Linked DNA regions of Arabidopsis thaliana. The protein of the gene in region 1 interacts with the protein of each later gene in a pairwise test. Each region holds a gene or a part of one and is shown on either strand. Other genes may lie near its edges.

The links.
Region 2: the proteins of AT3G05150 (region 1) and AT5G58150 interact in a protein complementation assay, tested with the Arabidopsis thaliana proteins (one large-scale study listed by BioGRID).

Annotation. Positions count from the first base shown.
Region 1 is NC_003074.8:1,438,006-1,444,359, reverse strand, and holds AT3G05150 (Major facilitator superfamily protein), read right to left. Parts: upstream 4,288-6,354; 5' UTR 4,247-4,287; intron 4,235-4,246; exon of another isoform or gene 4,162-4,234; 5' UTR 4,145-4,161; coding exon 3,989-4,144; intron 3,876-3,988; coding exon 3,813-3,875; intron 3,715-3,812; coding exon 3,625-3,714; intron 3,499-3,624; coding exon 3,439-3,498; intron 3,335-3,438; coding exon 3,269-3,334; intron 3,133-3,268; coding exon 3,067-3,132; intron 2,828-3,066; coding exon 2,752-2,827; intron 2,628-2,751; coding exon 2,563-2,627; intron 2,457-2,562; coding exon 2,364-2,456; intron 2,290-2,363; coding exon 2,209-2,289; intron 2,127-2,208; coding exon 2,042-2,126; intron 1,948-2,041; coding exon 1,838-1,947; intron 1,758-1,837; coding exon 1,698-1,757; intron 1,600-1,697; coding exon 1,546-1,599; intron 1,459-1,545; coding exon 1,399-1,458; intron 1,309-1,398; coding exon 1,194-1,308; intron 1,112-1,193; coding exon 1,003-1,111; coding exon of another isoform or gene 999-1,002; exon of another isoform or gene 863-998; and 3 more. Other genes in the region: RBK2 (ROP binding protein kinases 2), read left to right, coding at 6,161-6,213. UniProt on the Arabidopsis thaliana protein: Sugar transporter.
Region 2 is NC_003076.8:23,529,477-23,534,974, reverse strand, and holds AT5G58150 (Leucine-rich repeat protein kinase family protein), read left to right. Parts: upstream 1-2,134; 5' UTR 2,135-2,401; coding exon 2,402-4,759; 3' UTR 4,760-4,894; downstream 4,895-5,498. Other genes in the region: AT5G58160 (actin binding protein), read right to left, coding at 1-41, 259-959, 1,179-1,251; PHOT2 (phototropin 2), read right to left, coding at 4,982-5,104, 5,189-5,329, 5,410-5,498.

The DNA.
Region 1 (6,354 bases):
GCTCATTACAAAAAAAATTATATATAGCTACAAAAGTTCAGTTTAATTCAGACACACAAATAGCTGCCTAAAAATCAGTTAATGTCATAGTTCATAGTTGAAGTCAAGACAGCAATGTATAAACTAAGTATAAAACAGAGCATTTAAGTTCTTAGTTCAACTCCATTAAAGATGCAGCTTAAAAGATGAAGAACGTGTATATTTATTAACAACTAACAAGAACCGTTTAAATAGCAAAACGATATACAAGAATCAAGACCAGAGTATTTTACCTTGTAAGAGGATTTTTTATGTTTTGTTTCTCTCGGCTAATGAGCAATGTAGATAAAATTTGAGTGAGAGAACTCCTCCAGTGGAAAAACAGAACTAAAAAAAGATTGTACTCGACATTTGTAAGAAATAAACCAAGTAAAGAGGATTCAGATTTCAGAGTCAAGAAAGGAGTATTTATAGAGAGTCATTATTTAAATTTCTTTCCAATCAAATATTATAGATTCAAACGGTAAGAAAATGTTACCGTTTCACAACGTTCATATTTTTCCACTGTATCAAGTCAAATCAAACTAAACGTTAGAAGAATATCGGAAATCGTAAACGCACTTAAGAGTTAAGACTCTTTTATTCATTTACCGAGTAAAATTCTCTTGAAAGCTGAAGGCCCAAAAGTAAGGCCCATTATGTATGATATAATTGAGAAGAAGAAAAATCGATGGCGGGATAGTAGTGAACAATATCCTCCTCACTAATTTGAAGGGTATGACTGTGTGTTTGATTGATTCGAGAAAAGCCTCTTTACGAGAGAACATGCCCACTTCTTGACTAAAGAACATTTTCATGCCATAATTCTTTCGATTTACGAAATCTGAAAATCCAAAATTAAATTCATAAAATACATATAAAGCCTTTCGGTTATATTGATAATGGTATGCGTTTGCATGTAGATAGTTATACCTTAATAAAAAAAATAAAAAATTAACATGTATTATATATTTACAGAGTTACATCATCATTGCTTGAATCTCTTCCAAGGTTCTGCCTTTAGTTTCAGGAACAAGTTTTGCTATGAAGATAATAGCCAATACACATACCCCACCATACACATAAAATGTACCTAAAAACAAAGAAATGCGATCAATACTGATTGTTCACCTAGTAGTTATGTATATAAAATAACAAAAAAAAATGTAATATACCATGAGGGCTCCAAATCATGAGAAAGTTGAAAGTGAATGAGACAAGCCATGAACTTAGCCAATTTACTACAGTGACAAGTCCTCCGGCAGTTCCTTTCAAATTTATTGGAAATATCTGGAAGTATAAAAAAAGAGTAAATTAATGTAATGACAAGATTAAGAAAAAATAATGAAATATGAACATTATATATTGTTTTGAAATTACCTCAGACATTATAACCCATGGGATTGCACCCATTCCAATAGAGAACGAACCGATGTAGACCTGGAAATTGGGTTTTGGGTCAACCGAGGAAAAAACCAAGACCAAACCATATATATTGAAACCAAAATTAGGTTTATAGATGTTTACCAAGACACCACTAACTGCCAGAGCCGGAATGATGTCAAGTGCTAAACCATGAGCCTGTCAAAACCAAAATCAAACCGGTTAACCTAAACGTCCTATATTTTTCCTGACATTATACGCTTTAATTTTTTAATTTTATTTTTCATATGATTGACCTTCAAAAGAAATGAATTTCCGATGAGCAAACATCCAATCAGCATCCCAACAGCTGAAGCCTGCAATGTACCGCATGGTCAGACCGAATACTCTAAACCGGTATTCTAGGATTTATTGGAAACTGAAACAAGAACCATACCATAAGAAGTGGCCTTCTTCCAAGCCGATCAATTAGCAATGTTGCGCCTAGTGCTGTGAGAACGACTTGTTCGATCGAGTATAGAATGCTTCCAAGAGTTGGGGATGCTCCTGGTACTCCAAAAATGGAACAAAAACCGATGAATGGTCTAGAAATGGAGTATGTTAGATTATAACATTTGCTAGATCATTTTCGAATTATAACCTGCTGATACGAATATTTGTTGTGCGTAGAAGATAACGCCATTAATTCCAACGAATTGTTGGAAAAACATCAAACCAACTCCAACCTGAATAGATAGAAAAATAAGATTTAACCAAATCAAACCGGGAAATAGTTATAATCGGTTGAATGGAATTAGAGATTCTTACTATCACAAATCGAATATTCTTTTTGTCAATAAGGTCCATCAATGTGGCTTTCGGGAGGTGAGCAAGACTCGCTAAGTACTCCTATAAACCGGAATTCAAAACACGAAAAATGTCATGTCACGTAACAAAACCGATTTTCTGGTTTTAGATTGTACCTGAATTTCCCCGGCTTCTCTTGTGATATTGGCCTGAGGACCCCTCAGTTTTTGCAACGCAATTTCAAAATCACTGTGGCGGCCAACCATTTCCTTGAAACGCAAAATGCATATGAGTTGGGTCGGTTAGTTTTTTTTTTGGTTTTAATGTTAAGAGGTTAATTTCAACCATATGTTGAGTTACGATCGTTGATCTTACCAGCCATCTGGGTGATTCAGGGATGAACCAAGTCCCAAAGAATAGAACCACGCACGGTGCAACTCCTGAAATTGGTTAATTAAACCTCGTTTTGTTATACCCAAATTAAATTTTATACCATCTAATTTTGTATAATTACTAAACCAACAACAAATATTTCCGGTTCAGCTACCGCACAAACAAGTTTACCGGTTAGTGCAAGAGTTCTCCAATTTACGACGGCGCCTATGAGGAACATAGAAGCTAATCCGATTACGATAAAGAGCTGCAATATTAACAATTTCAATTTATTTCAGAAATAAAACAATAATTTTTTGTTGTCTTTTAAAAGATTTAAATAACTCTAAATACTGTTTTGATTTTTGTTTTTTTGACCACAAAATACTCCTAATTTGTGATACAATGTCAAATATCTCGAAAACACCAACACATATGCTAGCTCTGATTCTATTGTAATCAGTACATTTTCTAATGCAGTAGTAAATAAAAGGACATCATCATCACCTGGTTAAGCGTCGCTAAGGCTCCTCTCAATTTTCTCGGACTAATTTCGGCGATGAAGACCGGTACCTACACAAAATCGGTGCCAAATGTGGATTTCCAAAAAGTTTCATATATAAAAAGGAATTTTTATTTATTGATTAATTTATAACACTATGCATGGCTTTTTATCCATAAGGGGAAAATGCTTATGAAAATGTCGTACCACAAAGGAAAGGGTACCGCAACCATAACCCGTTAGAAATCTTCCGAAATCCAAAGGTACGTCACCCTAATATTAAAAAAAAAACATCACTATTTAGTTGCAGATTTTCCATGTTATTTTAAAGCTTTTTTTGAAAACAGCTATTGAAGAAATTCAGCCAAAAGAATAACCTTGGCCAAGTAAATTATCAGCCAGCCGATGGCAGAGATCACTGAAGACAACCGCATGGCCTGTCTCAAAGACAAAAACCATGTGAGCCAAAAAGTAATTTTATATTTCGTAAAAATGGTATATTTTTCTTAGGATTTATTGTGTGTATATTGAGATAAAAACAATTTTGTTTAGGTAGGTTTTACCCCTTTCCGACCGATGAAATCAGAAATCTTCCCCGATGTAATGGCGCCGAGCACTGCTCCCATATTCAATATCGATCCGAAAACCGAAAACTAGATTCCAATAGAGAAAAAAAAAAAAAAAAGATTAAGCAAAATATTGTTAAACATGCATCTATAAACGTAGAAGACTTAATCAATTTAATATAAACCTGGGAATATGATAAATTAAGCTCTTCCATAATCCCAAACTGTGTTGGAGCGGAGTATCCCACCTATTAAAAAACAAACACAGATTTTCTCGTATCAAAAAGATTAATCGTCACAAATTCTTAGGTTCTCATCATCTTTTATTTCCAAAGTAATAGGTGTCGTAAAAGAATCTTACGCATGTTCCAAACTCGTAGGAACCGCAAACGGCAATGATCGTGCTTAGATAAACCATCCATGATGCTTCTTCTGAGACGTCGGATCCATTCTCCGGCAGCAGCAACGGCTCGGATTTGTCGTTCCTTTTCTCCATGTCGTCTTTTCTTGTCTCCATTTTCTTCGTAAAATGCCCTTTGAATTCAACGAATACTTATCAATTTTTATGTAGATAAAATATAGGATATATGATAAGAAACACAAGATTTGGATAACTCACCGGAGGAAATGAGAAGGCACCGTGTTTTTAGATCTAAAAACTCTGATTTGTTCCTAATTTATTGATATATATCATGTCTATATTTATCTCTGTATAAATCAGTACATGTAGCTAGGCTGGCTTAGCTAAAACCCATGCAGGATAATTTTGGACGAATTAGACAATTTGAATTAATTTATTCGAGATTTTATGAAAGTCCCAACTCCCAATGCATTATTACACGTTGGGGGTTCTCTATAGTTTTAATGTTGATTGACTAAACTTGAATTTTCTTAAGTAAGATAATTCAGAAGTAATTACATGGTATTTCATAGTAATAATATTCACTAATACTTTCCTCAAAAAATTCACAAATACTATGTACATTATGGATGCATTGTGTTACTGGGTAAGTAAGATGCATGGTTTGTTATTTTGTTTTCCTTTTTGGTGATGGTTTATGACATGCACAGTAACGTGTAATTGACTCAAAGGTTTGACCCGATAAGACAGTTGTTTTCCACAGATCCGATGCTCATGTGTTTTTTCCTGGCCCACCGCAAGATCCAAGCTGTGATGGATAGTTTTTTTTTTTTTTTTTTTCTATAAATGTGATGGATAGTTGATACTATAATAATTTCTAATTTGGGAGACAAAATCCAAAAAAAACTCTAGATCATATAGTATAAAACTACAGGGATTCAAAAGACAGTATTTGGATTTGTAGTTGGCCATGAGATATTCGTTTCCACTCCGCATTAACCACATAAGTAATGAATTATTCTTCTTCTCGTCATATGGGCTAATATCATTCAAATTCTTGCGAATGTAAGATGTATAGAAAAAACCGCCCACTATAGAAATCATCAAAATCTATGAAAATGATTTTGTCGCGGAAGTTGAACTGAGTCATTACAATTTGGACCCAGCGTCATTGAGCAAAAACCTATTTAATCGAGGGTACAGAAAGTTAGCGTAGGGACTATTGATAGATTGATAGAACAGAACAGTACCTAACAAGATTTACATAAATGATCGATGTCCCCTCTCTTATACAACAATGAAGTATTGAACAATCACTTCCAACATGATTGTGGTCCGTGGTTTAACTATCCAAAACTTATATAAGAGTCACTTGAAATAATATTTGTTAATCACAAAAATAAGAATCATAAAAATAAATAAACGGTGCAAAGCAATAAAGCCAATGCAGGTTTTAATGCAGGCTTTCTGCATCATATACACACAGAAAATATTCTATTCACAAGAAAGAAAATACAAAACAGAGTACTACTTGAATAAAAACATATAGAAAATTAAAGATAATTACTATCAGGTCGCAATATATACAAGAATGTCAATATCTACAATTGATTAGTAACAGTAAATGAAATTAGTAAAACTAAAACTACTTAGATTACTCAAGTTTGATCTTTTATAAATTCCTTATCAACAAGATAAAGAAAGTAGTTTTTTAAAACCTTAAAAGACCTAAATTAGGAATATGAGTTTGGATAACGAGACCGACAGATGAAGCGATTTTTAAGGACCCTTAACCCTTTCTGCCATAAATGAATGAAGCTAAGAGAATGCCTCTGAGTTCAATCCAAAAAGAGAAAATCAAAAGCATATTGCCAAATATAGGATTTAGTCATTTTAGAGTCTAACTATTAGCTTAACAAAAAAACTACTAGTAGATATACCATTGGTCAACGGAAAACAATTAAATTAGTAAATCAAATTTTAAACACACAGACAAAACCTTTTCTTTCGGGTGTCTCGAGACGAACACCAACTTCAAAACTTCTTTCTATTTTTATTTATTTTTGGTTTAAATGTTAACTTCTTTCTATTTCCTTTCTATGATCCTCTTCTCTATTTTTAGGTTTTCAGGTTTCTGAGAAAATCTTAAAAGTGTCCTACCAACACTCTTTCATGGCGGTAGACCAAAGCAAAGAAGCTTCTCCCGTGTGTTGTGCTCTTCCAATGTAATCATTCAATCAAATCACTTTTTTCTCTGTTTGTTCTTATATTTGATTTGAGTTTTTTTTTGGTAGACATGATATTAATGTCTAGAAGTTTATCTTCTGTTCTGTTATGATTTTCATTGATACTTAACGAACGTTTAA
Region 2 (5,498 bases), on another chromosome or scaffold:
ACATGACAATTAATGTCAATCTTGACTAGTTCACATTCTGCCTGCAAAACACAAAGAGTTGAGTAAACAACATCGAAAAGCCATTAAATCATATTGCAAACAAGGAAAAAGAAAGCTAAGAAGCACAAGAAACAGAAAACCAACAGGGCTAATCAGTGATCAAATATATTTCTTTTTCTAAGACCTTCAGATGCAATGTAACACAGGCTGAGTCAGAGGTCATAATTATAAGAACGCTATGAATATTCTGAGAAATACCTGCTTGTAGACCCTCAGGTGTTTCCCTTTCTTGGGAGTAGTGTACAAAAGCTTAGGCTTTTTATCATCAACAAAAAAGGGATCCTGACCATATATTCGAAACATAGGGCGAAAGCCTCCTTGTCCACTAACATCAGGAATAAATCTCAAAATAACACAATCCATGGTGAGAGCCCTATCCAATGGAGGCCATTCAGAGACCAAATTCCTTCTTGACACGTACTGTAGATAACGAAGCTGAGAAGGAATTGGGTTCAAGGGCGAGAACAAACGCAGAAGCTCACGCGGAGCCTGCTTGTAGATCATGTCCAAAGTCTTAGACTCACCACTATACTGCTTCCTGTATATAAGGAGGGCAGCTAGCATAAAAGCTAAAACAGGCCAAGCCCCACTTTCACAATGCATTAGTAACAAGTTATTTGGCCCAAGCGAGAGCCAACTTTCACTTGACCGGAGAAAATGATGCATCACTTCCACAGGTAACAATGAGCAGCCTTCGTAGTGCCGAGGATAATCCATTATAGTCAAGCCATGTTCAGATAAGACATCAGCCATCACACTTCGAGTACCCACTTCACGGAAATTAAACACAAGAGAAGATGCTTCAGGGAAATGCTCTTGTAGTTGATTGACTACTCCTGCCATATAAACTTTGTAGTTTTCTTCTTCCCATGAATCGGTAGAGAAGCAGCAATCGAACACTGCAACACACACAGAAGAAACTTTTTTCAGTTCAATGTGTTTTTTGCCAATCATGATAAAATGAAATTTCATATCTTGATTTGTAAAACTCCCAAATTTCAGACAAATTAGCGTAAAAAGTCCCAACTTTTCAGACACTCAATCCCAGAAGACCGAACAAGTACAATGAGCTAAGGAAAAATAGATAAATGAAGCAGAGAATTGGGAGAGAAACAGACCGAAAACTCTGTCGCATATCTCGAGCAAACCATCTGGAGGCTTGCGGTAGAACAATTTGCGAAACAATGCCATTTTATCAAAGTCTTAAAACCTCTCTTCGAATTTCAAAAATCGACAACTTTTGAGTTTTCGTTTGATTACAGAATTTGTAGCGAAAGATGCTCCTTTTTGGTATGAATCTGTTAAGGTGATGTTGATTGATCTTCGAACAGAGGAAAAGGTCAGCTGGCGCGTTGTATGACGTGGATCCCACGATCAGCCGCCAACTCTCTACCCGACCTGACACGTGTCTTCTCATCTACGGACGAACCGGCATTTATCTCTCGGCCCATTTAATTCCTCTTAATGGGCTTTTCCTTTTCGGCGCACAAGTTGTGATATCTCGACTCTGTTTTGCTAGCATTGTTTCTTCATTCTCTCTAATTGCAAGTTTCAGTCTTTGAATCCGATGAAACTCAGATAGCTATTGGAGCTCTGTTTTAGCATAAGATTGCTTAAAATAGTGAGTGGCTATTTTTATCCAGAAAATGAGCTATGAATCTGATGAGTTGGTTTAAACTACATTGATGGCTCTTGTTTTTATTTTCTCTTATTTGCGGACATTAAGGCGCCAGTTTAGGGGCTAATCAGAGGAATGAATGATTCTCAATTTCCAAGGTATCTGTGACAGAGTCAAAAAAGTGTGAAAACCCCTAAAAAAGTGAATTTTTACATTAATAACCAAAACACTACTGAAATGAGAAACCACAACAACCACCCACTCCTCCACTCACCAAATCCATTGACAACTTTGGGATTTGGAAAAATTCACAAAAGGTCTGAGACAGATTCCATTTATCATATTTTTCTTATAACTCACTAGCGAAATACTTTACCTAATTATAATCTCCACATATCCCTTTTTTTGACTTTCAACGACTCTCTCTTCTCTTCCCACTTTCTCCAGTGTCCATATACGATACAACCAAAAACTCAACTCTCAACTCCGGAACTCCCCCAAACTATTCAACTCTTATCTTCTTCTTCTGAAATTTCATAGCTTTCTGACTAAAAGTTCTGATTTTTTTTGAAGCTGTGCACGTGAAAGGGATTTCAATGTATTCTAAACTATCATCACCTCTATGCCCCGTGATTCCATTATGTCTTTTCTTCTTTTCACACAGTCTGTCTTCTTTCTGAGCTTTCCCATCCAACTTTCTCCAGTCCCAGACACCACCAAGTTATGAGGTTGTCTCTATGGGGATCTCTCCTGTTCTTCTCCTTCTTCGTCAAGCATCTGACGAGCCTAGATCCCAACACCGACGCTTATCATCTCTCTAGCTTCTTCTCCGCAATGAGATTACCCAATTCTCCCCAAGCTCATACGTTTTCTTCCTTGTGTTCATGGCCAGGAGTGGTCGTCTGTGACTCTAGTGAGAATGTGTTGCATATTTCGGCTTCTGGGTTGGACCTGTCTGGTTCGATCCCCGACAACACTATTGGCAAAATGAGTAAGCTCCAAACTTTAGATCTCAGTGGAAACAAGATTACGTCTCTCCCCTCGGATTTGTGGAGTCTCAGCTTGCTTGAGAGTCTCAATCTCTCCTCCAACCGGATTTCTGAGCCTCTTCCCAGCAACATCGGCAATTTCATGTCGCTTCACACCCTTGATCTTTCTTTCAACAGCATCTCTGGCAAAATCCCTGCCGCAATAAGCAACCTTGTCAATCTAACAACTCTCAAGCTCCACAACAATGACTTTCAGTTTGGCGTCCCTCCAGAACTTGTCCATTGCCGATCTCTACTCTCCATCGACCTCTCATCCAACCGCCTCAACGAGTCTCTGCCTGTCGGTTTTGGTTCAGCTTTCCCACTACTAAAAAGCTTGAACCTTTCACGAAATCTGTTTCAGGGTTCATTGATAGGAGTCTTGCATGAAAACGTGGAAACAGTTGATCTCAGTGAAAACCGATTTGATGGGCATATCTTGCAGTTAATACCCGGCCACAAACACAACTGGTCTAGTCTGATTCATCTTGACTTGTCCGATAATAGCTTTGTCGGCCATATATTCAATGGTTTGAGTTCAGCTCACAAGCTGGGACACCTTAACCTCGCGTGCAATCGATTCAGGGCACAAGAGTTCCCAGAAATCGGCAAGCTTTCTGCGCTACATTATCTGAATCTATCAAGGACCAATCTCACTAATATCATTCCGCGTGAAATCTCGCGGCTGAGTCATCTGAAGGTTCTTGATCTCTCCTCCAATAATCTCACTGGCCACGTGCCTATGCTGAGCGTCAAGAACATTGAAGTACTTGATCTCTCGTTGAATAAGCTAGACGGAGATATCCCAAGGCCGCTTTTGGAGAAACTCGCCATGATGCAAAGGTTTAACTTCTCTTTCAACAATCTAACCTTTTGCAACCCCAACTTCTCCCAAGAAACAATCCAGAGATCCTTCATTAATATTAGAAACAACTGCCCCTTCGCTGCAAAGCCAATTATTACAAAAGGAAAGAAAGTCAACAAGAAGAATACAGGGCTTAAGATTGGTTTGGGGTTAGCAATCTCCATGGCGTTCTTACTTATAGGACTACTGCTCATACTTGTAGCCTTGAGAGTTAGAAGAAAATCAAGAACTTGGGCAACAAAGCTAGCCATAAACAACACAGAACCCAACTCCCCAGACCAACACGACTCAACCACTGATATCAAGCAAGCAACGCAAATCCCTGTGGTAATGATCGACAAGCCATTAATGAAAATGACGCTTGCAGACCTAAAGGCTGCGACTTTCAACTTCGACAGAGGCACAATGTTGTGGGAAGGCAAGTCTGGTCCTACTTACGGAGCAGTCTTACCCGGTGGATTCAGAGCAGCTCTAAAAGTTATCCCAAGTGGAACCACATTGACTGATACTGAAGTCTCGATTGCATTTGAACGTCTCGCTAGGATCAATCACCCAAATCTTTTCCCGCTCTGTGGATACTGTATAGCGACAGAGCAAAGAATTGCAATCTACGAGGACTTAGACATGGTTAATTTGCAAAGTCTACTCCATAACAACGGAGATGATTCTGCACCTTGGAGACTTCGGCATAAGATAGCTTTGGGGACAGCGAGGGCATTAGCTTTCCTTCACCATGGCTGCATTCCTCCAATGGTCCACGGAGAAGTGAAGGCTGCAACAATCTTGTTAGACTCTAGCCAGGAGCCACGCTTAGCAGACTTTGGTTTAGTTAAACTCTTGGACGAGCAATTTCCCGGTTCCGAAAGTTTAGACGGGTACACACCACCGGAACAGGAGCGAAATGCTTCTCCGACATTAGAATCCGATGTGTATAGCTTTGGAGTTGTTTTGCTTGAGCTCGTGAGTGGGAAGAAGCCGGAGGGTGACTTGGTGAATTGGGTGAGAGGGTTGGTGAGGCAGGGACAAGGATTGAGAGCCATTGATCCGACGATGCAAGAGACAGTTCCGGAGGATGAAATCGCGGAGGCGGTGAAGATAGGGTACTTGTGTACCGCCGATCTGCCATGGAAGCGACCTACGATGCAGCAGGTGGTTGGACTTCTCAAAGACATTTCTCCCAACTACTAGTGGGCTAGTTATGGGCCTCATAATGGGCTTATCACACTTAACATGAATATTAACATGGCTCTTAAGTTTGTATGTTTATTGTTGTTGATTAGAAGAAATGGAAAAACATGAAAAGAGCCGTTTATATTTAAGCAACTACAAGTACAACAACACCTTGGCTTTTATTGAGAAGAAGAGTTTTGCATAATTTGAGAATCAAAGGCAGAGAGAGGAAGAATAGGATTAGAAGAGGTCAATGTCCAAGTCCGTAGAATTCACAAGCACTCCATCATCTTCCCACTTTATATCTTTGGCATTCGGATCTTTTTCGATTATGCTCAACGGTGCATCCAGTGGTGGAGGACTCTGTATGCAATCACTCTATTATATCAGCCAACAACAAACACGGAAAAGGCTGATTGATATAAAAATAACGATTATTAGTCCTACCATGCCTCGTATGAGAGGCCAATTGATCCCGCGAAAGAAAGCATGCTGCTTTATCTCATTTGCCCCACCTTTGGATCCTAACCGACTGCTCGGATCTCTATTTAACAACGTGTTGATCAACTGTCTACCTACAAGACTCACCTGCACAAACACATATGGTTAGATTAGTATTTTTTTTACTTTGGGAAAGACACACAGGTTGTTGTTACAAGGTAGCTCACAGGGATACTGCTGGGGAAAGTGAGATCTTTGTGCAAGATGTTGGCAAATGTCTTTTGCCTATTCTTACCCCTGAAAGGTGTGCGACCAT